2 linked regions of the Anolis sagrei genome follow. The protein of the gene in region 1 interacts with the protein of each later gene in a biochemical or structural test. Links are inferred from orthologs where the notes say so. Each region holds a gene or a part of one and is shown in the gene's direction. Other genes may lie near its edges.

The links.
Region 2: of the proteins of MARK3 (region 1) and KSR1, one has a biochemical effect on the other in vitro, tested with the Homo sapiens proteins (2 studies listed by BioGRID). The link is inferred for Anolis sagrei from reciprocal best matches to the Homo sapiens genes MARK3 and KSR1.

The regions. Positions count from the first base shown.
Region 1 is NC_090021.1:327,714,176-327,727,029, reverse strand, and holds the start of MARK3 (MAP/microtubule affinity-regulating kinase 3), read left to right. Parts: upstream 1-6,832; 5' UTR 6,833-7,684; coding exon 7,685-7,741; intron 7,742-12,854. UniProt on the Homo sapiens protein: Serine/threonine-protein kinase. Involved in the specific phosphorylation of microtubule-associated proteins for MAP2 and MAP4. Phosphorylates the microtubule-associated protein MAPT/TAU. Phosphorylates CDC25C on 'Ser-216'.
Region 2 is NC_090031.1:21,357,477-21,369,556, forward strand, and holds the start of KSR1 (kinase suppressor of Ras 1), read left to right. Parts: upstream 1-7,184; 5' UTR 7,185-7,393; coding exon 7,394-7,651; intron 7,652-10,069; exon of another isoform or gene 10,070-10,350; intron 10,351-10,462; exon of another isoform or gene 10,463-10,556; intron 10,557-12,080.

The DNA.
Region 1 (12,854 bases):
CCCATATATATTTCTAAAAATTGGGTGTGTTTTAGAATCGTGGATGTGTCTTACGTATTTTTGTTGGTACTGAAATGAGTGTGGGGTCCTGCAGGGCACAATACTGTCTCCTATGTTGTTTAACATCTACATGAAGCCGTTGGGGGAGATCATCAGGAGTTTTGGGGTGTGGTGTCATTTGTATGCAGATGATGTCCAACTCTGTCACTCGTTTCCACCTGCTACTAAGGAGGCTGTCCAGGTCCTGAACCGGTGCTTGGCCGCTGTGACAGTCTGGATGAGGGTGAACAAACTGAAACTGAATCCAGACAAGACAGAGGTCCTCCTGGTCAGTTGAAAGGCCAAACAGGGCATAGGGTTACAGCCTGTGTTGGATGGGGTTACACTCCCACTGAAGACGGAGGTTCTCAGTTTGGGAGTGATCCTGGATTCATCGCTAAGCCTGGAACCCCAGGTTTCAGTGCGCCACCTGCGCCCATACCTTGGGAAGTCTGACTTGGCCACGGTAATTCACACTCTGGTTATATCCCATATAGACTACTGCAATGTGGGCTTGCCTTTGAAGACTGTTCGGAAGCTTCAAATGGTCCAACAGGCAGTAGCCAGGTTACTAACTGGAGCAGCGCTCAGTGAGCATACAACTCCTCTGTTGCGCCAACTCCACCAGCTGCCAATTTGCTACTGGGCACAATTCAAAGTGCTGGCTTTAGCATATAAAGCCCTAAACGGTTCCGGTCCAGCTTACTTGTCTGAACGTATCTCTCCCTATGAACCATAAAGGAATGGAAGATCATCTGGGGAGGCCCTGCTCTCGATCCCACCTTCTTCACAAGCGCATTTGGTGGGGACGAGGGACAGGGCCTTCTCAGTGGTGGCTCCTCGGCTGTGGAACTCCCTCCCTAGGGATATTAGATTAGCCCCCTTCCTCCTGACCTTCCAAAAAAAGTAAAAACTCTTTGAACAAGCCTTTGGAAATGCAGTGCAATAGACAAACATGGAATTATGTAAGTTTGAAACATGGAATGGCTTAAACAACACTATTGGAAAGTGAGATTAACAGTAAGTCAATGGTTATTATATGTTTTTAATTATTTTTGTATTTAATTGTTTTTATATTGATTTTATAATACTGTTTTAGATGTTTTAATTGTGGATTGTTGTAGCATTGAATTGCTGCCAATTTGTAAGCCACCTTCAGTCGCCTTCGGGCTTGAGAAAGACGGGATAGAAATATCGCAAATAAATAAATGTGCATCGTACAATTAATTGAATCTTAGAATCACAGGACTACAGTAGTTTAAATCTGTCCATAGATTCGTTTGCTCTTTCTCTCCATCCAGGTGCTTTTTCATATATGTGTGTGTGTATGTGTGTAGCTGAAATTAGATGCGTTTTATAATAAATGGCATCTTAGAATAGAAAAAATACAAAATACATGTTCCATTATTTCCTGAGGCAGCGGGCAGCTGAGATCCCAATATATGCACAATTCCCCTTTTATTTAAACCTCATAATCAAATTGGAAAAAAAAGGCTCTCTGGGCTTCCTGCTGCCTCAGGACAAAATGGAACATGTAGACCGTATTTCTTCGATTCTAAAGTGCCACTTATTGTAAAACTGGAGCAAAGAGGAAGAAGCAAGAATCAGAAAAATTAGTAAAAATATTGAAATCAACAATGGCACACTATTGAAATCCACTTCCAACCACCTCATATGAGTAAGTTGCAAGCTACAGTAATGTTTCTATTTTGCAAAAAAACATCGAAATGCTTCCTTCCGCCACAATTCAAACAGGTGAGGTGTATTGAAGCTGCTCCTAGCCATTAAAAGGAATTGGCATTGATTCAGTGAGAAATCCTCATCGAGCAAAATGTACAACACCCCCAGGAAATGTGAACAAGGATTGTTGTAAAATACATATTCATGCTGTATGCACCCAAACGTCAATTTCAACATTGCAATTGCCATTGTTATATGATGCATGAAAAGGGGAAATGAAAGAAAACTCAAGGTTTGATTTATGACTCTTTATAGGAGGCATTTCAGATCCGAGAATCGCCCACATATTTGCATAGCAGGTCCCTTGATGATTTTTTAAAAATCCCTTTTGTGTGAAAAGCACTTTATGCGAAATCAAAGCGGGCAGACCTAGAAGCCAAGGAAGGCACACATGGTCAGAATACAATGCTATAGCTCATTTAACGAGGATATAAATGACATTGAACTGAATTCTATGCAAATTTCCAAACTATAGCTTATCAGGAAGTTTGATTCTATTTGTTTTGGACTGAAATAAATTAGATCAGCTGAGCTAGAAAGACTCCAGTTGCCAGCAACTGCTTTCATGGCTTAAAAAGGTCACCACATGTACTCCATTTCTTCAATTGGCATTTTGTTCTGACCACTTACTGTGTTTTTCTTTGTAGGTATCTAGGATATTTCAGACACTCTGGTCATATTAAATTCCCTTTCTTTGGGGGATTTAAAAAAATCCTGACAAAGTGCTTCAGAACATGTCACGGGCAATCAATTGTGGCCAAATGATTGTCTTCCAAAGGTAGAGTCTGAGGCGTAACGTGAAAATAAACCACGTAGTTCACGTTTGATCAGCTCATATGCTGCCTTGCCAGAGAAAGAAAATATGCCACGCAGATGATCTATTAAGAGCAAGTAGTTTACTCTATGTAATTCAGAACAACATATCTACAATTATGTGATTAGTTGCATCGACTCGCATAATGTCCTTTTTTGAGAGATGTAAAATGGTTTAAAGGGAGAAATCTCCCTTCAGCAGCTCTTGAAGCAAGAGCACACTTTAAACCATCTCTCTCTGCTTCTCTCTGCTTCTCTCTGCAAGCACCTGCATAGCTCAAGCCTAAAAAATGTAATAGTAACCAAAATTCCCAGGCTCAGCCAGCTCCCTGGGCATAGCCTTACCAATCAGCTTCATGCTTCTTATTTTACAGTTGACACACACACACTGATTTCTCACATGTTCCAACAGAGTCTTGGCGGTGGATCTGTAAATGACTGTGGAGACTTATTCTAGATCCACATGGTCTTTTGCAGTGAGGACATAGATTTCCAGATGGAAAGCAGTCCCGACAAAGGTTTGCTTGCATTCCACATTTTGTAAGGTTAGCTTTAAGCCCATCTTTAAATCTCTCTTGCCCACCAACATTCTGTTTTCTGTTCTTGAGCTGAGGGTAAAGTAACTGCTTTGGGAGATGGTGATTGGGCATTTGAACAAAGAGGCCAGTCAAGCAAAGTTGATGGCAGAGGATCATCACTTCAGTGCTGGTGGACTTCTGGTGCTTCTTCCAGAACGCTGACATTTGTCCACCTGTCTTCTCAAGAACTTTGCAGGATTTTTCAGAGGCAACAATGATTGAATTGTTCCAGAAGTTGAGTGTGACGCTTGTAGACGGTCCATGTTTTGCAGGCTTATAACAGGGTTGGGAGGACAATAGCTTTAGGTTTTTAAATTTCTCTTGTTATTATCCGCCTGTGAATTATACGAATTGTATTGTTTATTTTGTTTACTGCTTGTTGTTTATTATTGCTTGTTGTTTTTGATGTGTTGTTGTATGCCGCTCTGAGTCTCTTGGGGAGATGGTGGTGGGTTATAAATAAAGTTTATTTATTTATTTATTATTATTATTATTATTATTATTATTACTATTATTTATAAGCAAGCATCTCAGTATCCCTACGAATGTCCCAATCCTCAAACACTCTCTGTTTTATTCGAAAAAATGCTGCACTTGCAGAGCTCAGGCAGTGTTGCACTTGTCTCAATGTTGACTTTGCGGAGAACTGGCTGCCAAGGTAGCAGAAAAGGCCAACATTTTCTAGTGTTACACCATTAAATTGCATTTCTGGCATTGCAGAGGGATTGGTTTGTGCCTGCTGATAGGGCACTTTGGTTTTTTCGATGTTCAGTGAGAGGCCTAGCTTTTCATATGCTTCTGCAAAGGTGTTTAAGTGACTTGTAGGTCTTTCTTTGAACGAGCACAGACTACATCATCAGCATACTTGAGTTCTGTAATGGACCTTCTTCTGAAATTGGTTTTGGCTTTCAGCCTGCTGAGATTAAAGAGCTTGCCATTGGTCCAATATGTGTAGAATGAAATGGAATGGTAATTTGGAGTTTTCCAAATTACCCTGTTTCCCCAAAAGTAAGAAAGGGTCCTATATTCCTTTTTGCTCCAAAATATGTATTAGTGCTTATGTCTAGCTCTCTGGACATTTAAAGATGAGCTTAAAGCCAACTTTAAAAACGGTGGCATAGACACCAAGAACTGGGAAGCCCTGGCCCTTGAGAACTCTAGCTGGAGGTCAGCTGTGACCAACAGTGCTGCGGAATTGTGAGAGGCACAAATGGAGGGAGAAACATGCCAAGAGGAAGGTGCGTCAAGCCAACCCTGATCAGGACTGACTTCTGTCTGGAAACCGATGTCCTCAATGCGGGAGAATATGCAGATGAAGAAAAGGGCTCCACAGCCACCTACGGACCCCACCTCCAAGTCACCACATCTGGAGGACCATCATCCTCGAGCTATGAGGGATCACCTAAGTAAAAAAGCAAAGACAACAAATCCCAAAATTCCTGTACAATTTGTTTTTGCACCAGCTGTTAGGAATGGTGGAAGTTGGAAGTCCAAAACACTTGGAGGGAGAACCCAAGTTTGCACAGGTCTGATCTACACTGTGGAATGAATGCAGTTTGACACCACTTTTATTTATTTATTTATTTATTTAAAACTTTTATATCCCAATCTTTTCTACCTCCAAAGAGGGACTTGGACCGGCTGACAGCAAAGATTCAATGCTAACATTAAAATCTAAAACATATTACAACAACATTACATTACCAAATACAAATAAAATAAATTACATAAAAGCCGTTCGCCAAGATAAAATCGTGTCCAGTTCAGTCCATATATTGTGGTCAGTAACTTTGTTAGATTACCAGTCTCAGACATTATTCTGCAAAGGCTTTGTTCCACAGCTGGGTTTTCACTAGCTTCCTAAAGGTCAGGAGGGAGGGGGCAGATCTAATTTCATTTGGGAAGGAAATTCCAAGGTAAGATCTTAGAAATTAAAATCATGGCTTTGGGACCAGGCCTTCGGACAGTAGATGTTTGTAGAGTTCAAAGGACATGGACTAGAATGACAATATGACTGGCGAGACTGTTTTTATTATTTATTGTTTTAATTATTGCTTATGTACAGTCTAATTATGATTTATGCTTAATTGTCGTTTTATTATTGTGGTTGTTATGGATTGAGATTGCGTCAGTGTCCAATGTATGGCATTGAAGTTTTGCCAGTTATGTGTAAGGAACCCCCGGTGGTGCAGTGGGTTAAACCCCTGTGCTGGCAGGACTGAAGACCGACGGGTTGCAGGTTCAAATCCGGGGAGAGGCGGATGAGCTCCCTCTATCAGCTCCAGCTCCTCATGCGGGGACATGAGAGAAGCCTCCCACAAGGATGATAAAACATCAAAAATCATCCGGGCGTCCCCTGGGCAACGTCCTTGCAGACGGTCAATTCTCTCACAACAGGATGCTCCTGACACGACAAAAAAAAAAAGTTATGTGTAAACCACTTTGAGTCCTCCTAGGGGTGAGAAAAGCAGTATAGAAATACTGTAAGTAAATAAATAGGCAAGGGGCCACCACAGAAAAGGCCCTGTCTCTCATTCCCACCAGATGCGCCTGCGAAGATGGCTGAACCGAGAGCAGGGCCTCTCCAGACGATCTTAGCACTCTTGATGGTTCATAGGGGAGAATACATTCGGACAAAAAAGTTATGTGTAAACGCTTTGAGTCCTCCTAGGGGTGAGAAGAGCAGTATAGAAATACTGTAAATAAATAAATAGGCAAGGGGCCACCACAGAAAAGGCCCTGTCTCTCATTCCCACCAGATGCGCCTGCGAAGATGGCTGGACCGAGAGCAGGGCCTCTCCAGACGATCTTAGCACTCTTGATGGTTCATAGGGGAGAATACATTCGGACAAAAAAGTTATGTGTAAACCGCTTTGAGTCCTCCTAGGGGTGAGAAGAGCAGTATAGAAATACTGTAAATAAATAAATAGGCAAGGGGCCACCACAGAAAAGGCCCTGTCTCTCATTCCCACCAGATGCGCCTGCGAAGATGGCTGGACCGAGAGCAGGGCCTCTCCAGACGATCTTAGCACTCTTGATGGTTCATAGGGGAGAATACATTCGGACAAAAAAGTTATGTGTAAACGCTTTGAGTCCTCCTAGGGGTGAGAAGAGCAGTATAGAAATACTGTAAATAAATAAATAGCCAAGGGGCCACCACAGAAAAGGCCCTGTCTCTTGTCCCCACCAGACGCGCCTGCGAAGATGGCGGGCCCGGGAGTAGGGCCTTCCCAGACGATCTTTGCCCTCTTGATGGTTCATAGGGGAGAATACATTCGGACAGGTACTTTTAACTGCCTGGGAGTTGTAGCTTGGTGTGGCACCAGCCCTCATGGGCAGAGAAGGCTTTAAAATAAACCTGTAAAACGACCATTCTCACAAAACCCCAAAGCATTGAGCTCTGGCAGTGGCAATGGCGCGTACTCTCCATCCAACTCCAAAACACAAAATGAGGGAGGGCATTCTTCCCACGAAGCCCCGCCCACACAGAAGCCCCGCCTTCTTTTCCCATGGCTCGGCGTTTCCTTAGCAACAAGGGGAGGAGGGGGGAGGGAGAGGGAAGCACGCGCTTCTACTGCGCCTGCGCACTTACGCCCTCTGCCTCTCTTTCCCCCGCTCCGCTCCCTTTCAGTGCAAGGGGTGGTCTCTTCCGGTTCACGTCGGCGCAGAGGAAGCCGGGCGGCCATCTTGGATCATCCGGCACTCTTTTGCTGAAGGAGGGAGGGAAGGGAGGAAGCAAGGAGGGAGCTGGCTGGCTGGCTCTGAGGCGGGCTGCGGCCTTTCTTTTTCTTTTCTTCTTGTCTTCTTCTTCTTCCCTCGCGCTCGGATTGAAACATGGGAGCCTAGGCCCGGTGAGGCCTAGGAAAGGCGGAAGGGCGGACGGGAGCCTCCGAGGGACAATCCTGGTGCTCAGCGAAGCAGGGCCATTCTTCCTCCCTCCTCTTTCCCCTTCCTTCCTTTTTTCCCTTTCCTTAGAGCATTGTAGGGCCTGCCTTTTCCTCTCCACCTAGTCTCCCCTTGCTCCCCTCTTTGCCTAATCCCTCCTCCATTCCCCTTTCGTCCCTCCTTGCCCTCCATGAGAGCCCCTCTCCCCTTTAATCCTCCTCCTCTTCCACCTTCCAAGGAGCCTAATCTCCCTGTGGGATGATCCCCCAAGGCTCCTCCATCAGGTTAGGCTATAAATGAGGCAGGGGGCTCCTCTTCGGGGAGGAGGAGGCCCAGAAATCACCCCCCACACCTCACTCCCTCTCACACACTCTCCTCTTTTTTCCCCTTGATGGTGGCAACTCCTAACCACTGTCATGCTGTAAAACTATTCTTTTCTTCCCTTGATGGTGGCAACTCCAAACCACTGTCATGCTGTAAAACTATTCTTTTTTTGTTGTAAATATCTCTCTATATATTTGGAGGAGGAGGGCGTTAGGGTTTTCTTCTCCCCCTTATTTTTTTGATATAATAATAATAATAATATTCCTGGGTTTGGCCATCGCAAACCGGGGCATCAGCACAAGTGAATGAAAATGTCCACCAGAACTCCATTGCCCACCGTGAATGAGCGGGACACTGAAAATGTGAGTGCTGTTCAGGGTTGTTCATAATGAGTGTATTGTAGTTTTATGCTAATTGAGCATCTTTTTGAATGAAATAGCGAATGTTGAATGTCCTAACCTGTTCTGCTTCCCTCTTACAAGGTGCCTCCTGCAGCAGCACTTGGGAGCCCCTCAATATATGCAATATAATTATTATATGCAATATAATAATAACATTGTAAAGTAAAGATACAAATATATTATATATAATGTTAATAATGTTGTATATGTATATGTACTACAACTTACGATATGGTACAATATATAATACTAAAGGCTGAGAAGAGTATACAAATAAAGTAAATAAATAATAGTGTATTATACTGGTAGTGTATTATATATATTGTATGACAATATATTGCAATATAATATATAATACAATAACAATTGTATATTATATATTACATGTATTATCACTAATAAGATTGGAGTATAGTGGTATAGTACAATATAGAAATATATAATACTAATAATGTGCTGTGCTATGATAATATACATATATATTTATATGTACTACAACTTATGATATGGTACAATATATAATACTAATAGTGTACTATACTGGTAGTGTATTATATATATTGTATGATAATATATTGCAATATAATTATATATTACATGAATCATCACTAATAAGATTGGAGTATAGTGGTATAGTACAATATAGTAATATATAATACTAATATTGTGCTGTGCTATGATAATATACATATATATTTATATGTACTACAACTTATGATATGGTACAATACTGTACTACCCTGGTAGTGTATTATATATATTGTATAACAATATATTGCAATATAATAATATATAATATAATAACAATTGTATATTATATATTACATGAATCATCACTAATAAGATTGGAGTATAGTGGTATAGTACAATATAGTAATATATAATACTAATATTGTGCTGTGCTATGATAATAGACACACACATATATATGTAGTAATATTTATTTGTCGTGTCAGAGCAACCAGTCAATTTCTAACAGAACAAAACAAACAAACAGACAAAACACAAAATTTGCAAGTTTGGTAGTTGATTGTATTACATGTATTGCTAATAATTTTGGAGTATAGTGGTATTGTGTATAGTGGTATATATTATATATAATATTAATAATGTTGTAATATAATATATTTTATATTATATGTACTACAACTTATGATATGGTACAATATATTATATACTAATAGTGTACTATACTGGTAGTGTATTATATATATTGTATAATAATATATTGCAATATAATAATATATAATATAATAATTGTATATTATATATTACATGTATTCTATATATAAATAAAAGTGCAATGTTCACTTGTGGGATTAGCTTAACTCAAAACCCACTGGATGAATAGACACCAAATTTGGACACAATGCACATATCAAGTCAACGAGTGGCCTTCATTCATAAAACACTGAAAAACACAGCAGAAGAGACTTAAAAAGCCAAAAAACCAAAAATGCATTACAACACATGCGCAAAACCACACACACACACATATATACACACAAACACACATGTATACACATATACACAAATATACACACACATATACACATATATACACACAGAAAACACATATACACAGACTGGGCCACAGTAACACATGGCAGGGGACGGCTAGTCACTAATAAGATTGGAGTATAGTGGTATAGTACAATATAGTAATATATAATACTAATATTGTGCTGTGCTATGATAATATAGTACAATATAATAAAATGTAGTAATATAATAATTGTATATTATATATTACATGTATTATTACTAATAATTTTGGAGTATAGTGGTATCGTACAGTATAGTAATATACAATACTAATATTGTGCTATGCTAATAATATAATATATTATATATAATATAACCTTGATAATATTATAATGCAATACAATACTAATAATAATACAATACAATTTATAATAATATTGTAATGCCATAATAGTAATGCATTAAATATACTACTGATAATGTATAATCATATATGATATACTTTTATTATTATATATTTGTATATTTTAAGTTGTAATTATTTTATTGTGAGCTACTTTGAGTCTCCATATGGAGAGATAAAGCAGGATATAACTCTCTGCCCCGGAAGCTGGATGGCCATCTGTCAGGGGTGCTTTGAATGTGATTTTCCTGCTTCTTGGTAGGGGGTTGGACTGGATGGCCTACAAGGTCTGTTTCAACTCTATGATAGATAGATAGATAGATAGGGTGTATGCACATGGTTCTTTACAAGATTAAATTTTTCACACATAATGTAAATTCGTTTCATTCATATATGAGAGATACTGTATTGGTATTGTAAATAAAAATAAAGATGTTATTAAGTATTGAAATCCCTTTGTGACTTTTGGCCCACCCTGTATGTACATACACACATACAGTGATAACAGTGATAACTAAACTTCCGTCAGAGCTTGAAATTTTGTAACATATCCTCAGGTTTACTGTTATTACAACAGGCATTGTCTGGCAGCTGGACATGTGATAACAGATGTTTTGCGGGTTGCTATGATGAACATTGTTATTAGGAAAACACCTACTAAGGCCTTCCTACAGTAAGTTGCTGTTCATGTTTAAATTTGGGATCCTCCCCACTCATTCTTATTGAGCCCATCACACTTTACTCTTACGTCTTAGAAATGCAAGAGAGACTTGAACATCCAACATCTTGGACACAACATGTGCTGAAGACTAAAAGCAGATTATGAATAAACATACGGCAGGCAGGAAGGAAGGAGTGGGTCGTTTCCTTTCACAAATAATTCACAGGGTGACCTAGATAACATATCTCAATATGATTTGTATTTCTCTTGAGGGTGCCTTATGCCACCTTCAGTGCTTGAATGTATTGTACATAGATATTAAAGAAAACTGCATTAATTTTTAATTAGCATGATTTTTTTAGTGCTGTGAAACTGTTTTACTTCATTAAAGTAAAGGTAGCCATTTCTCTGTATTTGCTGGATTTAATGAAAAAATCGAATCAAACGATAGCTATGGATATTCCTTCTGTAAAATGTATTGTGTATATATTCATTGATAGAGGGTTCTAAACACAATGCAGATTTTCTTTTACTGTTGAACCAGAAAAGCTGACAGTTTGATAATCTTAAGAATGAAGACTGTTGAGATCTGTGATACTTTTGAAGACGAGAAAGATAGACTAAGCTTATTTTTGTGTTTGTGTGATCTAGTCTGCTTGTCATTGACTGAAAGTACTTGAAACAAGTTTAGATAGGGAGGTGGAACAATTGTTGTATTGTCGGTGCTTTGTATATGTTGACTCAGATAAAATCTCACAGTTTGTTTACTTTAGTTCCTGAAACAAAGCTTATGAAGCTTAAAGGCTGTATTCAATTATAAATAATTCATCGATAGAATATTTGTACATTTTTCAGGCCCACAATGTTTCATTTTAGGGGGAAAACCTGTTCAGTGTTTCATTGTAGTTCATTGTTAACTATGAGATTTTCTTTAGTAGGTTAAATCTTACGGCCACTCAATTTTTTTTACTCTTGTTTAGAATAACTATATCTAGAAGGTCATTGGATAGAACTATGTAGATAATTTTAGTGTGATTATTTAGTCTGGATGAGATGAATTTTTAAATAGGTTGTCAGGTGATGGTCACTGTACTTTAAAATGAAGCAAAGGTAGGACTTATTGGTCTGAAGTATTTATGTTCAGAAGTGGTCCTGGTTCTGATGTAAAAATATAAAATTAATAATGTGGCAGGACTTGTGGCTGGTTTTTGCTTGGCTTGCCATGTCAGAGCTCACAAACAAGGTATAACTGGATTGGTTGGTTGGATGCAGAGTATGAATATAGATAGTACTCTGATGAGTTGTAATTTACACAGAGGCATGCTCTTGACCACAAAAGTACTAGATCACAGGAGGATCCTTAATATGAGTAAAGGTAACACAGGTTAGTGTTGCCCTGATTTCATTTAAAATTTGGAAATTTAGAATTGATACCTTTATGTAGAACTTAATAAATGTTTGCTTCCCTCTTTAATTACTGGGTTTAAAATATTATTCCATTTTAGCTGTGGTGGCAGTAGGAGGGGAATAGCTGAAAAAAGCAGAAAATTCAAGGTATCCTAGCAGTACTTTTGGATTTGACAGTCCTGAATCCTTCATTACATTGCATGCTTAAAAGTTCTCATGATAATAGAGAAGAGAGATAAATGAACCAGTGCTAAATTTTCCAAGGTAATATTCATCAGCTCCTATTGGCAGAAACAGATAATATTTCCGACAGTTTCATATTGATTCTCAGAAAAATGCTGAATGAGCATTGTTCTTGCTTGTGCTTGAAGCTGAACCATGTAAAGTAATTGTTAAAAGGGAAGACAAATTCTACAAGCCAATGTAGAAACCTATATTTCTTTTCAGACACTACTGGGTGTTATGTCATTCTCTAGGAGCAAATCTATAAGATCTACAAACCGAGCAAGGAGAATGCTCATGCTATGAACCAAAATTCCAAATCCAAAAGTTCTCACTTTTTTCTTTAGTGTGTGTGAGTTTAAGATGATTAATTTCTGCTTGAATTTTGTCTGATTTCTATTCTGATAGACTTCATACCTCAAGGCTCTTCCACTTGTATTCTGCTGTCAGGGGGCTGTAGAATGGGCCTCCCCTTGAGGGCTAAGCACACACTTTCTGCGAGCAGCAGCTGCAGAATAGGAAAATAGATGTCTTAATGGCCTTAATTAATGGTAGAATATGAAGTTGTATATATATATTGCATGATGTGGCTCTTAGTTTTTCAACCTGGATAACATTCAGTTCATACACCTTTTCTTTTGCTTAGTCAAAGGTTTAAAAGAAATCGCTATCATATCAAACAGCTCTCACATTGTTTTCAGGCAGAAAGTTGCATTTTAAATAATTGATGTATTTTTGGTGTGTCTCAATATCATTTAGTGGGTTAGACTGACCTAGAAAGCATTGTTCTATGAAGACATCTGTTTCAATAGCATTTTCTTGGGCAGTACTGACATTTTGTAAGTGATGCATTTTGAAAACACATCTGTGGTGTGAAAGTTTCCTGCATGGCAGGA
Region 2 (12,080 bases), on another chromosome or scaffold:
GAAGGCCTTCGACAAGGTCCCCCATGACCTTCTGGCAAGGAAACTAGTCCAATGTGGGCTAGGCAAAACTACGGTGAGGTGGATCTGTAATTGGTTAAGTGGACGAACACAGAGAGTGCTCACTAATGCTTCCTCTTCATCTTGGAAAGAAGTGACAAGTGGAGTGCCGCAGGGTTCCGTCCTGGGCCCGGTCCTGTTCAACATCTTTATTAACGACTTAGATGAAGGGCTAGAAGGCAGGATCATCAAGTTTGCAGACGACACCAAATTGGGAGGGATAGCCAATAGTCCAGAGGACAGGAGCAGGATTCAAAACGATCTTGACAGATTAGAGAGATGGGCCAAAACTAACAAAATGAAGTTCAACAGGGACAAATGCAAGATACTCCACTTTGGCAGAAAAAATGAAATGCAATGATACAGAATGGGGGACAATGCCTGGCTGGAGAGCAGTACGTGTGAAAAAGATCTTGGAGTCCTCGTGGACAACAAGTTAAACATGAGCCAACAATGTGATGTGGCGGCAAAAAAAGCCAATGGGATTTTGGCCTGCATCAATAGGAGCATAGTGTCTATATCTAAGGAAGTAATGCTACCCCTCTATTCTGCTTTGGTTATTCCACACCTGGAATATTGTGTCCAATTCTGGGCACCACAATTCAAGAGAGATATTGACGAGCTGGAATGTGTCCAGAGGAGGGTGACTAAAATGATCAAGGGTCTGGAGAACAAGCCCTATGAGGAGCGGCTTAGGGAACTGGGCATGTTTAGCCTGAAGAAGAGAAGGCTGAGAGGAGATATGATAGCCATGTATAAATATGTGAGAGGAAGCCACAGGGAGGAGGGAGCAAGCTTGTTTTCTGCTTCCTTGGAGACTAGGACGCGGAACAATGGCTTCAAACTACAAGAGAGGAGATTCCATCTGAACATGAGGAAGAACTTCCTGACTGTGAGAGCCGTTCAGCAGTGGAACTCTCTGCCCCGGAGTGTGGTGGAGGCTCCTTCTTTGGAAGCTTTTAAGCAGAGGCTGGATGGCCATTTGTCAGGGGTGATTTGAATGCAATATTCCTGCTTCTTGGCAGAATGGGGTTGGACTGGATGGCCCAAGAGGTCTCTTCCAACTCTTTGATTCTATGATTCTATGATTCATTTCTTTGCTTTTTCCCCTTCCTAACATTATAACTAATCCTCCCAATAAAAAGTATCAATTAATTGTAACCTTTCCCTCTCCATAGTGTTACTTTGTGTCCTTTGCTGCCTCAAAGCTTCTCTTTCAACAAACCTTTCAATAAAGGCCAAAACTGCTTTCCCTTAAACCGCGGATACGGAAACCCCCTTCGGGGCCCCGTATCCGCGGGTCAACCGATCGCCTTGAAAATGGTGTCAGTTTTCTCTTGGAAGAATTCTAAGACTAATGGCTATCTCGGTTTCGCTCCGCTGTCCTTTCCGCCCAGGGAATAACCTTTTTTGCCCCCAAAACCATATCCTGGAGTCCGGCTGTTTTTCTGAAGACGCTGCCTCGCTGCCACCGTTTTGTCGGGATTGGTGCTCGTCTCCATTTCTAAGCTGAAGAACTGGCATTGTCCGTAGATGTCTCCAAGGTCATGTGGTCAGCATGACTGCATGGAGCGCTGATACCTTTCTGCCAAAGCAGTACCTATTGCTCTACTCACATTTGCATACTTAAAATCTGGAGGTCATGTAGTCCAATCTGCTGCTCATAGAATCATAGAATCAAAGAGTTGGAAGAGACCTCATGGGCCATCCAGACCAACCCCCTGCCAAGAAGCAGGAACATTGCATTCAAATCACCCCTGACAGATGGCCATCCACCCCCTGTTTAAAAGCTTCCAAAGAAGGAGCCTCCACCACACAGAGAGTTCCACTGCTGAATGGCTCTCACAGTCAGGAAGTTCTTCCTCGTGTTCAGATAGAATCTCCTCTCTTGTAGTTTGAAGCCATTGCTCCGCGTCCTAGTCTCCAAGGAAGCAGAAAACAAGCTTGCTCCCTCCTCCCTGTGGCTTCCTCTCACATATTTATACATGGCTATCATATCTCCTCTTGGCCTTCTCTTCTTCAGGCTAAACATGCCCAGCTCCTTAAGCCACTCCTCATAGGGCTTGTTCTCCAGACCCTTGATCATTTTAGTCGCCCTCCTCTGGACACATTCCAGCTTGTTAATATCTCTCTTGAATTGTGGTGCCCAGAATTGGACACAGTCCAGACTTTGCTTGCTGTTACCTTCCCACCAGAGCAGTACCTATCGATCGACTCACGTTTGCATGTTTTTGAACTGCTAGGTTGGCAGAAGCTAGGGCTAACAGCGGGAGCTTACCCCTCTCCCTGGATTCGAACCACCGACCTTTCGGTCAGTAAGTTCATCAGCTCAGCAGTTTAATCCTGTTAATTGCTGTTAATTGTATATTTATGTTTTGACATGGGCGCCATGGGGTGCCACTTTGTTAGCCGTCCTGAGTCCCTCTGCGGAGGTTGAGAAAGGACGTGATATAAAAGCCCTAAATAAGTAATAATAAATAATAATCCACTGTGCCACCAGGGGGCCCAATATATAATATACTAGTGTTATTACAATGTTACTATTTCTATATATTATTATCTTGTTTATTATTATTATTATTATTATTATTATTATTATTATTATTTTTATTTTGTATAAAGGTAAATGTAAAGGTTTCCCCTTGACATTAAGTCTAGTTGAGTTCAACTTTGGGGGGTGGTGCTCATCTCCATTTCTAAGCCGAAGAGCCGGCATTGTCCGCAGACACCTCCAAGGTCATGTGGCCAGCATCACTTCATGGAGCGCCCTTTCCTTCCCGCCAGAGCAGTACCTATTGATCTACTCACATTTGCATGTTTTCGAACTGCTAGGTTGGCAGAAGCTGGGGCTAACAGCAGGAGCTTACCCCGCTCCCCGGATTCGAACCACCGACCTTTCAGTCAGCAAGTTCACCAACTCAGCGGTTTCACCCACTGCGCCACCAGGGGGCCCAATATATATATATTAGTATTATTACACTGTTATTATTTCTATATATTATTATATATTGTTTATTATTATATTGAATAATAAATAAATAAATACAATTATTATTGTATTGTCGAAGGCTTTCATGGCTGGAATCACTAGGTTCTTGTGGGTTTTTTCGGGCTATAGAGCCATGTTCTAGAGGCATTTCTCCTGACGTTTCGCCTGCATCTATGGCAAGCATCCTCAGAGGTAGTGAGGTCTGTTGGAAGTAGGAAAATGGGTTTATATATCTGTGGAATGGCTGGGGTGGGGCAAGGAGCTCTTCCCTGCTGCAGCTAGGTGTGAATGTTTCAGCTGACCACCTTCATTAGCATTTGAAGGCCTGCCTGAGCCTGGGAAAATCTCTTGCTGGGAGGTGTTAATCTGTGCCTGGTTGTTTCCTCTCTGAAGAGCTGGCGTTGTCCGTAGACACCTTCAAGTGTTGCCCATGCCTGGTCTACACTGTAGAATTAATGCAGTTTGACCCCACTGTATCTGTCATGGCTCAGTGCTATAGAATCCTGGGATTTATAGTTTACCTTTGCTGCCAAAGAGTACTGGTGCCTCACCCGCCTACAGAATCTATAGTTCCATAGCCATACACACCATGCATATATTCACCTTTATTATATGCATATATAGATAGATTAAAATACTAATTGAACTCAGTGGCTCCCTCTGTTGGCCACATGAGGCATAGCTGCATGGAGGTTGCCCTGAAAAACTATGAATTTTGACCCCTCCAATCAGGAGACACTAATGGCCTTCCTTCCAATGACACTGGAGGTTATAGTGAGTGCCATGAATATGTCCTAGAGCCCTGCCTACATCCTTCACGAACACCACCCAAGTGAAGGCTTTCTTACGTGGACAATTTCATCCCAGATTTTGTGTGTTTCCTCCACCACAGACATCCCAGTGTTTCTTACTCGTTCCATTGGTGTGGGATTTGCATGACCCCGCCCACTGCCTCTCCCTTAACTCTATAATATGATTATATATATTGTATATAATATATATTTATATATATTATTATATTGTATATAATATGCAATATATATTATATGGTTATATGACTATATATATTGTATATAATATACAATATATTATATATACCATTATATTGTATATAATATGCAATATATTTAATATTTATATCAGAAGACATAGAATCAAAGAGTTGGAAGAGACCTCATGGGCCATCCAGTCCAACCCCATTCTGCCAAGAAGCAGGAATATTGCATTCAAATCACCCCCGACAGATGGCCATCCAGCCTCTGTTTAAAAGCTTCCAAAGAAGGAGCCTCCACCACACTCCGGGGCAGAGAGTTCCACTGCTGAACGACTCTCACAGTCAGGAAGTTCTTCCTCATAGAACTTAAGGTTATATGATTTTATATATTGTATATAATATATATTTATATATATATATTATATTGTACATAATATGCAATTTATATTACATGGTTATATGGCAATATATATTGTATATAATATGCAATATATATAATATTTAAAAGGTTATATGATTATGTATATTGTATATACTATATATTTATATATATATATGATATGGTTATATGACCATACAATATATATTATATTATATATATTATATTGTATATAATATACAATGCATATTATTGTATATATCATTAGGTAAAGGTTGTCCCCTGACATTAAGTCCAGTCATGTCTGACTCTGGGGTGTGGTGCTCATCTCCATTTCTAAGCCGAAGAGCCAGCGTTGTCCGTAGACACCTCCAAGGTCATGTGGCCAGCATGACCGCATGGAGCGCCGTTACCTTCCCGCCGGAGCGGTTCCTATTGATCTACTCACATTTGCATGTTTTCGAACTGCTAACAGCTGGGGCTAACAGCGGATGCTCATGCCGCTCCCCGGATTCGAACCTGTGACCTTTCAGTTAACAAGCTCAGCAGCTCAGCGCTTTAACCCACTGCGCCACCGGGGGGCTCCATATCATTATATTATATACAATATGCAATATATATAATATTTATAAGGTTATATGATTATGTATATAATATATATATATATATATATATATAATTTTGTATATAATACACAATATATATGGTTATACAATACACAATATATTATATATGACCATACAATATATATTATATTATATATATGATATTATATTTCATATTGTATTGTATATAATATACAATGCATATTATTGTATATATCATTATATTGCATATAATATGCAATATATATATATACATAATATTTATAAGGTTATATGATTATGTGTGTATATATATATATATATATATATTGTATATAATGCACAATATATATTATATGGTTATATGGCCATACAATATATATTATATTGTATGTAATATACAATGCATATTATTATGCATATCATTATATTGTATATAATATGCAATATATATAATATTTATAAGGTTATATGATTATGTTTATTATATATATATATATATATATACACAATATATATTATATAGTTATATGACCATACAATATATATTATATTATATATATTATATTATGTATTATATTATATATATTATATAATGCATATTATTATGCATATCATTATATTGCATATAATATGCAATATATATAATATTTATAAGGTTATATGATTATGTATAATATATATATATGATATTGTATATAATACACAATATGTATTATATGGTTATATGAACATACAATGTATATATATGTATTATATTTTATTATCTATTATATTGTATATAATATACAATGCATATTATTATGCATATCATTATGTTGTATGTAATATGCAATATATATTATAAAGTTATATGATTATAATATATAATCCTATAACTTTATAATATATATTGCATATTATATACAATATAATTATTGTATATATACTATATATTTATATATATTTATATATATTTATATATATTATATGGAGCCCCCTGTGGCGCAGTGGGTTAAAGCACTGAGCTGCTGAGCTTGTTGATCGAAAGGTCGCAGGTTCGATTCCGGGGAGCGGCGTGAGCTTCCGCTATCAGCCCTAGCTTCTGCCAACCTAGCAGTTTGAAAACATGGAAATGTGAGTAGATCAATAGGTACCGCTCCGGCGGGAAGGTAAGGGCGCTCCATGCAGTCATGCCGGCCACATGACCTTGGAGGTGTCTACGGACAACGCTGGCTCTTCGGCTTAGAAATGGAGATGAGCACCACACCCCAGAGTCAGACATGACTGGACTTAATGTCAGGGGACTACCTTTTTACCTTTTATATATATTATTATATTGTTTATAATATGCAATATATTTTGATATACTAGACTGGATGGCCCATGAGGTCTCTTCCAACGCTATCGTTCTATGATTTTATAATTCTACATATATTACATATATTATGACAGCTGTTTATTTTAACTTCTTTTATACCGAGGGTTGTATGTATGACTATGTGTTAATTGTGTTATGTGTTAAATGTTTTGATACGGCCAATAGGCCAATCAATAGAACGTATCCACTATCCACATATATTATTATATACACTATTAAATTGTATTTAATATGCAATACATATTATATATATTATAAGGTTACATGATATATATATGTATTGTATATAATATAAACGTATATTACTATATTACTTATATACATAATATTATTATATTGTATACAATATACAATATATTATTATATATAACATATTATATATGTTATATTAAGTTATATAAATATCACTGTTTATAATATGCAATATATTATATTATAAGGTTATATGATTATATATTATATAGTATATAATTATATATTACATACTATATTGTCTACATTGTATCTATTGAGGGTCCACCTCTTATGCCTATTATTATTATTATTACCATGGTTGCTCTAATCTTTGGGCTTGAATGGGCAGAGAGGCCGCCCACCCTCTGCAGAGAACTACATCCCCCGGCATTCTTTGCGGGAGCCAACCCCCTCCTTCCGGTCCCCCGCCCCCCTCGCAGCCGATATAAATACAGACCTATGCCTCTTATTACCATGGTTGCTCTTTGGGCTTGAATGGGGAGAGAGGCCGCCCACCCTCTGCAGAGAACTACATCCCCCGGCATCCTTTGCGGGAGCCAACCCGCTCCTTCCGGTCCCCCCGCCCCCCTCGCAGCCGATATAAATAAAGACCGTCGCGAGGCGAAGAAGAAGAAGGCGGAGGGCTGTTGTCAGGTGGATGCTGCGGCGGAGGCCTCTCCTGCAGCCCTGCCTCGATTTTTCCTCAGAGGGAAAGATCTATTGGAGAGAAGGGGAGCAGTATTCCTGAGGCGGATTCTCCTCAGAAGAAGAGGCCATTTTTCCCTGATGCCGAGGCATGGATAGGGCAGCGCCGCCACCGCCGAGGATGGGCGAGAAGAAGAAGGGCGGGCGGGCCAAGGAGGAGGAGGAGGCCAAAGGAAGAGGAGGCCGAGGAGGAGGAGGAGGCCAAGGCGGAGGGAGGCCGGCCTGCGCGGCGCAGCAATGCGGGCAGCTGCAGGACCTCATCGACATCTCCCTCTCCAGCCTGCAAGGCCTCCGCACCAAGTGCGCCGCCTCCAACGACCTCACGCAGCACGAGATCCGCGCCCTGGAGGTAAAGGAGTCCCCCCTCAGAGAGAGAGAGAGATAGATATATAGACACACACAGAGGCATATACACACTCCCTGCTCACCCTTGGCCAAGGGGAGGGGGAGGCTGCGCTCGGAATTGGGGGCGGGGCTCCTTTCTAAGCCCCGCCCCCTTCCCTTTAAAAAAGGAGGGGGACTCTGCAGGGTCAGGGAAGGGGCCACCTGGGAGGAGACACTGGGTTGGGGCTCATAGGGGAAGGAAGGAAGGAAGGAAGGAAGGAGAGAAAGAGGGAAGGGAAAAAAAGAAGCAGAGAAGGAAGGAAGGTAGATGAAGGATGGAAAGAAAGGTAGAGAAGGACAGAGAGAAGGAAGGAAAGAGAGGGAATGAAGAAGGAAAGGAGAGAAAGAGACAGGAAAGGAAAGTGGGAAGAAAAGAAGCAGGGAAGGCAAGAAGGGTAGAGAAGGAAGGAAAGAAAGGGAACGAAGGAGAGAAAGGGAGGGAAGGAAAGAAGCAGAGAAGGCAAGAAAAAAAGAGAAGGAAAGAAAGAGGGAATGGAGGAGAGAAAGAGGGAGGGAAGGGAAAAAAGAAGCAGAGAAGGAAGGCAGGCAAGAAAGGTAGAGAAGCAAAGAGAGAAGGAAAGAAAAAAGAGAAGGAAAGAAAGAAAGAGGGAATGGAGAGAAAAAGAGAGGGAAGGGGAAAAAGAAGCAGAGAAGGATGGAAAGAAAGGAAGAGAAGGAAAGAGACAAGGAAAGAAAAAAGAGAAGGAAAGAAAGAAAGGGAATATGAAGGAGAGAAAGAGGGAGGGAAGGAAAGGGGGAAGGGAAAAAAGCAGAGAAGAAAGTAAAGGTAGAGAAGGATGGAAAGAACGGTAAAGAAGGACAGAGAGAAGGAAGGAAAGAAAGAGGGAATGAAGAATGAAAGGAGAGAAAGAGGGAGGGGAGGAAAGGGGGAAGGGGAAAAAGAAGCAGAGAAGAAAGGAAAGGTAGAGAAGGACAGAGAGAAGGAAAGAAAAAAGAGAAGGAATGAAAGAAAGAAGGATTGAAGGAGAGAAAGGGAGGGAAGGAAAGCGGGAATGGAAAAAAAAGAAGCAGAGAAGGAAGGAAAGGTAGAGAAGGACAGAGAGAAGGAAGGAAAAGAAGAGGGAATGAAGAAGGAAAGGAGAGAAAGAGGGGGGAAAGGAAAGGGGGAAGGAAGAAAAGAAGCAGGGAAGGAAGGAAGGCAAGAAAGGTAGAGAAGGAAAGAAAAAAGAGAAGGAAAGAAAGAAAGGGAATGATGAAGGAGAGAAAGAGGGAGAGAAGGGAAAAAGAAGCAGAGAAGGAAGAAAAGGTAGAGAAGGATGGAAAGAAAGGTAGAAAAGGACAGAGAGAAGGAAAGAAAAAAGAGAAGGAAGGAAAGAAAGAAAGAGGGAATGAAGGAGAAAAAGAGGGAGGGAAGGAAAGAGGGAAGGGAAAAAAAGAAGCAGAGAAAGAAGCAAAGGTAGAGAAGGATGGAAAGAAAGGTAGAGAAGGACAGAGAGGAGGAAAGGAAAGGGGGAAGGAAGAAAAGAAGCAGAGAAGGAGGGAAGGCAGAAAAGGTAGAGAAGGAAAGAAAAAAAAGGAAAGAAAGAGGGAATGAAGGAGAGAAAGAGGGAGGGAAGGGAAAAAAAGAAGCAGAGAAGGATGGAAAGAACAGTAAAGAAGGACAGAGAGAAGGAAAGGAAAAAAAAGAAGGAAGGAAAGAAAGGGAATGAAGGAGAGAAAGAGGGAGGGAAGGGAAAAAAAGAAGAGAAGGATGGAAAGAACGGTAAAGAAGGACAGAGAGAAGGAGAGAAAGAGGGAATAAAGGAGAGAAAGAGGGAAGGGGAAAAAAAGAAGCAAAGAAAGGTATAGATAGAAGGACAGAGAGAAGGAAAGAAAAAAGAGAAGGAAAGAAAGAGGGAATGAAGAAGGAAAGGAGAAAGAGGGAGGAAAGGAAAGGGGGAAGGAAGAAAAGAAGCAGAGAAGGAAGGAAAGGTAGAGAAGGAAAGAGACAAGGAAAGAAAGAGGGAATGAAGGAGAGAAAGAGGGAAGGGAAAAAAGAAGCAGAGAAGGAAGGAAAGGTAGAGAAGGATGGAAAGAAAGGAAGAGAAGGACAGGGAGAAGGAAGGAAAGAAAGGGAATGAAGGAGAGAAAGAGGGAGGGAAGGGAAAAAAGCAGAGAAGGAAGGAAAGATAGAAAAGGATGGAAAGAAGGAAAGAAAAAAGAAGAAAGGAAAGAAAGAGGGAAGCAAGAAGGAAAAGAGAAAGAGGGAGGAAAGGAAAGGAGGAAGAAAAGAAGCAGAGAAGGAAGGAAGGCAAGAAAGGTAGAGAAGGAAAGAGACAAGGAAGGAAAGAAAGAGGGAGGGAAGGGAAAAAAAAGAAGCAGAGAAGGATGGAAAGAACGGTAAAGAAGGACAGAGAGAAGGATAGAAAAAAAGAGAAGGGAGGGAAGGAAAGGGGGAAGAATAGCAGAGAAGGAAGGAAGGCAAGAAAGGTAGAGAAGGAAAGAAAAAAGAGAAGGAAAGAAAGAGGGAGGGAAGCGAAAAAAGAAGCAGAGAAGGAAGGCAAGGTAGAGAAGGATGAAAAGAAAGGTAGAGAAGGAAAGAAAAAAAGAGAAGGAAGGAAAGAAAAAGGGAATGAAGAAGGAGAGAAAGAGGGAGGGAAGGAAAGAGGGAAGGGAAAAAAGAAGCAGAGAAGGAAGCAAAGGTAGAGAAGGATGGAAAGAAAGGTAGAGAAGGAAAGAAAAAAGAGAAGGAAAGAAAAAAGAGAAGGAAGGAAAGAGAGAAAGAGGGAGGGAAGGAATGAGGGAAGGGAAAAAAGAAGCAGAGAAGGAAGCAAAGGTAGAGAAGGAAAGAAAAAAGAGAAGGAAGGAAAGAAAGAGGGAATGAAGAAGGAAAGGAGAGAAAGAGGGAGGAAAGGAAAGGGGGAAGGAAGGCAAAAAAGGTAGAGAAGGAAGAAAAAAAGAGAAGGAAGGAAAGAAAGGGAATGAAGACTCGGAGAAAGAGGGAGGGAAGAAAAGAAGCAGAGAAGGAAGGAAGGAAAGGTCGAGAACGAAGGCGAGAAGGAAAGAATAAAAGAAGGCAGGAAAGAAAGAGGGAATGAAGAAGGAAAAGAGAAAAAGGGAGGGAAAGAAGGAAAGATGGAAGGAAGAAAAGAAGCGGGGAAGGAAGGAAGGAAAGAAATAGGGAATGAAGAAGAAAAGGAGAGAAAGAGGAAGAAGGAAGAAAAGAAGCAGGGAAGGAAAGAAAGGTAGAGAAGGAAAGAGAGAAGTAAAGAAAAAAAGAGAAGGAAGGAAAGAGAAGAAAGAAGGAAAGAAGGAGAAAAAGAGGGAGAGAAGGAAGAAAAGGTGCAGAGAAAGAAGGAAGGAAAGAAATAGGGAATGAAGAAGGAGAGAAAGGAAGGGAAGGAAGAAAAGAAGTAGGGAAGGAAAGAACGGTAGAGAAGGAAAGAAAGAGGGAGGGAAGGAAGAAGGAAAGAAGGAGAAAAAGAGGGAGGGAAGGAAGGATAGAGAAAAGGAAGGATGGAACCAAAGATCAAAGAGAAAGAGGTAGAGAAAGAAGAAAGGAGAGAAAGAGGGAGGGAAAGAAAATAATAATATTAATAGTAATAATAATAATCTTTATTCATACCCTGCCACCATCTCCCCAAAGGGGACTTGGGGCAGCTAACATGAGGCCAAGCCCAAAAATAATAAAAAATGAGGCTGCTTGGAGTTGGGTGTGGGGCTCCTTTTTCGGCCCCGCCCCCTTTCCTTTAAAAAAGGAGGGGATATCTGCAGGGTCAGGGAAAGGGTTTACTGGGAGCCATTGTATTGGGACTTATAGGGGAAGGAAGGAAGAAAAGAGGGAAGGAAGAAAAGAAGCAGAGAGGAACGAAAGAAAGGAGAGAAGGAAAGAAAAAAGAGAAGGCAGGAAAGAGAGGGAATGAAGAAGGAAAGAAGGAGAAAAAGGGAGGGAAGAAAGAAAAGAAGCAGAGAAGGAAAGAAAGAAAAAAGGTAGAGAAGGAACGAAAGGTAGAGAAGGAAGGAGAGAAGGAAAGAAAAAAGAGAAGGCAGGAAAAAGGGAGGGAAGGAAGAAAAGAAGCAGAGAAGGAAAGAAAGGAAAAAGGTAGAGAAGGAATGGAAGGAAGGAGAGAAGGAAAGAAAAAAGAGAAGGCAGGAAAGAAAGGGAATGAAGAAGGAAAGAAGGAGAAAAAGGGAGGGAAGGAAGAAAAGCAGAGAAGGAAAGAAAGGCAGAGAAGGAAGGAGAGAAGGAAAGAAAAAAGAGAAGGCAGGAAAGAAAGAGGGAATGAAAGAAGGAGAAAAAGGGAGGGAAGGAAGAAAAGAAGCAGAGAAGGAATGAAAGAAAAAAGGTAGAGAAGGAATGAAAGAAAGGTAGAGAAGGAAGGAGAGAAGGAAAGAAAAAAGAAGGCAGGAAAGAAACGGAATGAAGAAGGAAAAAAGGAGAAAAAGAGGGAGGG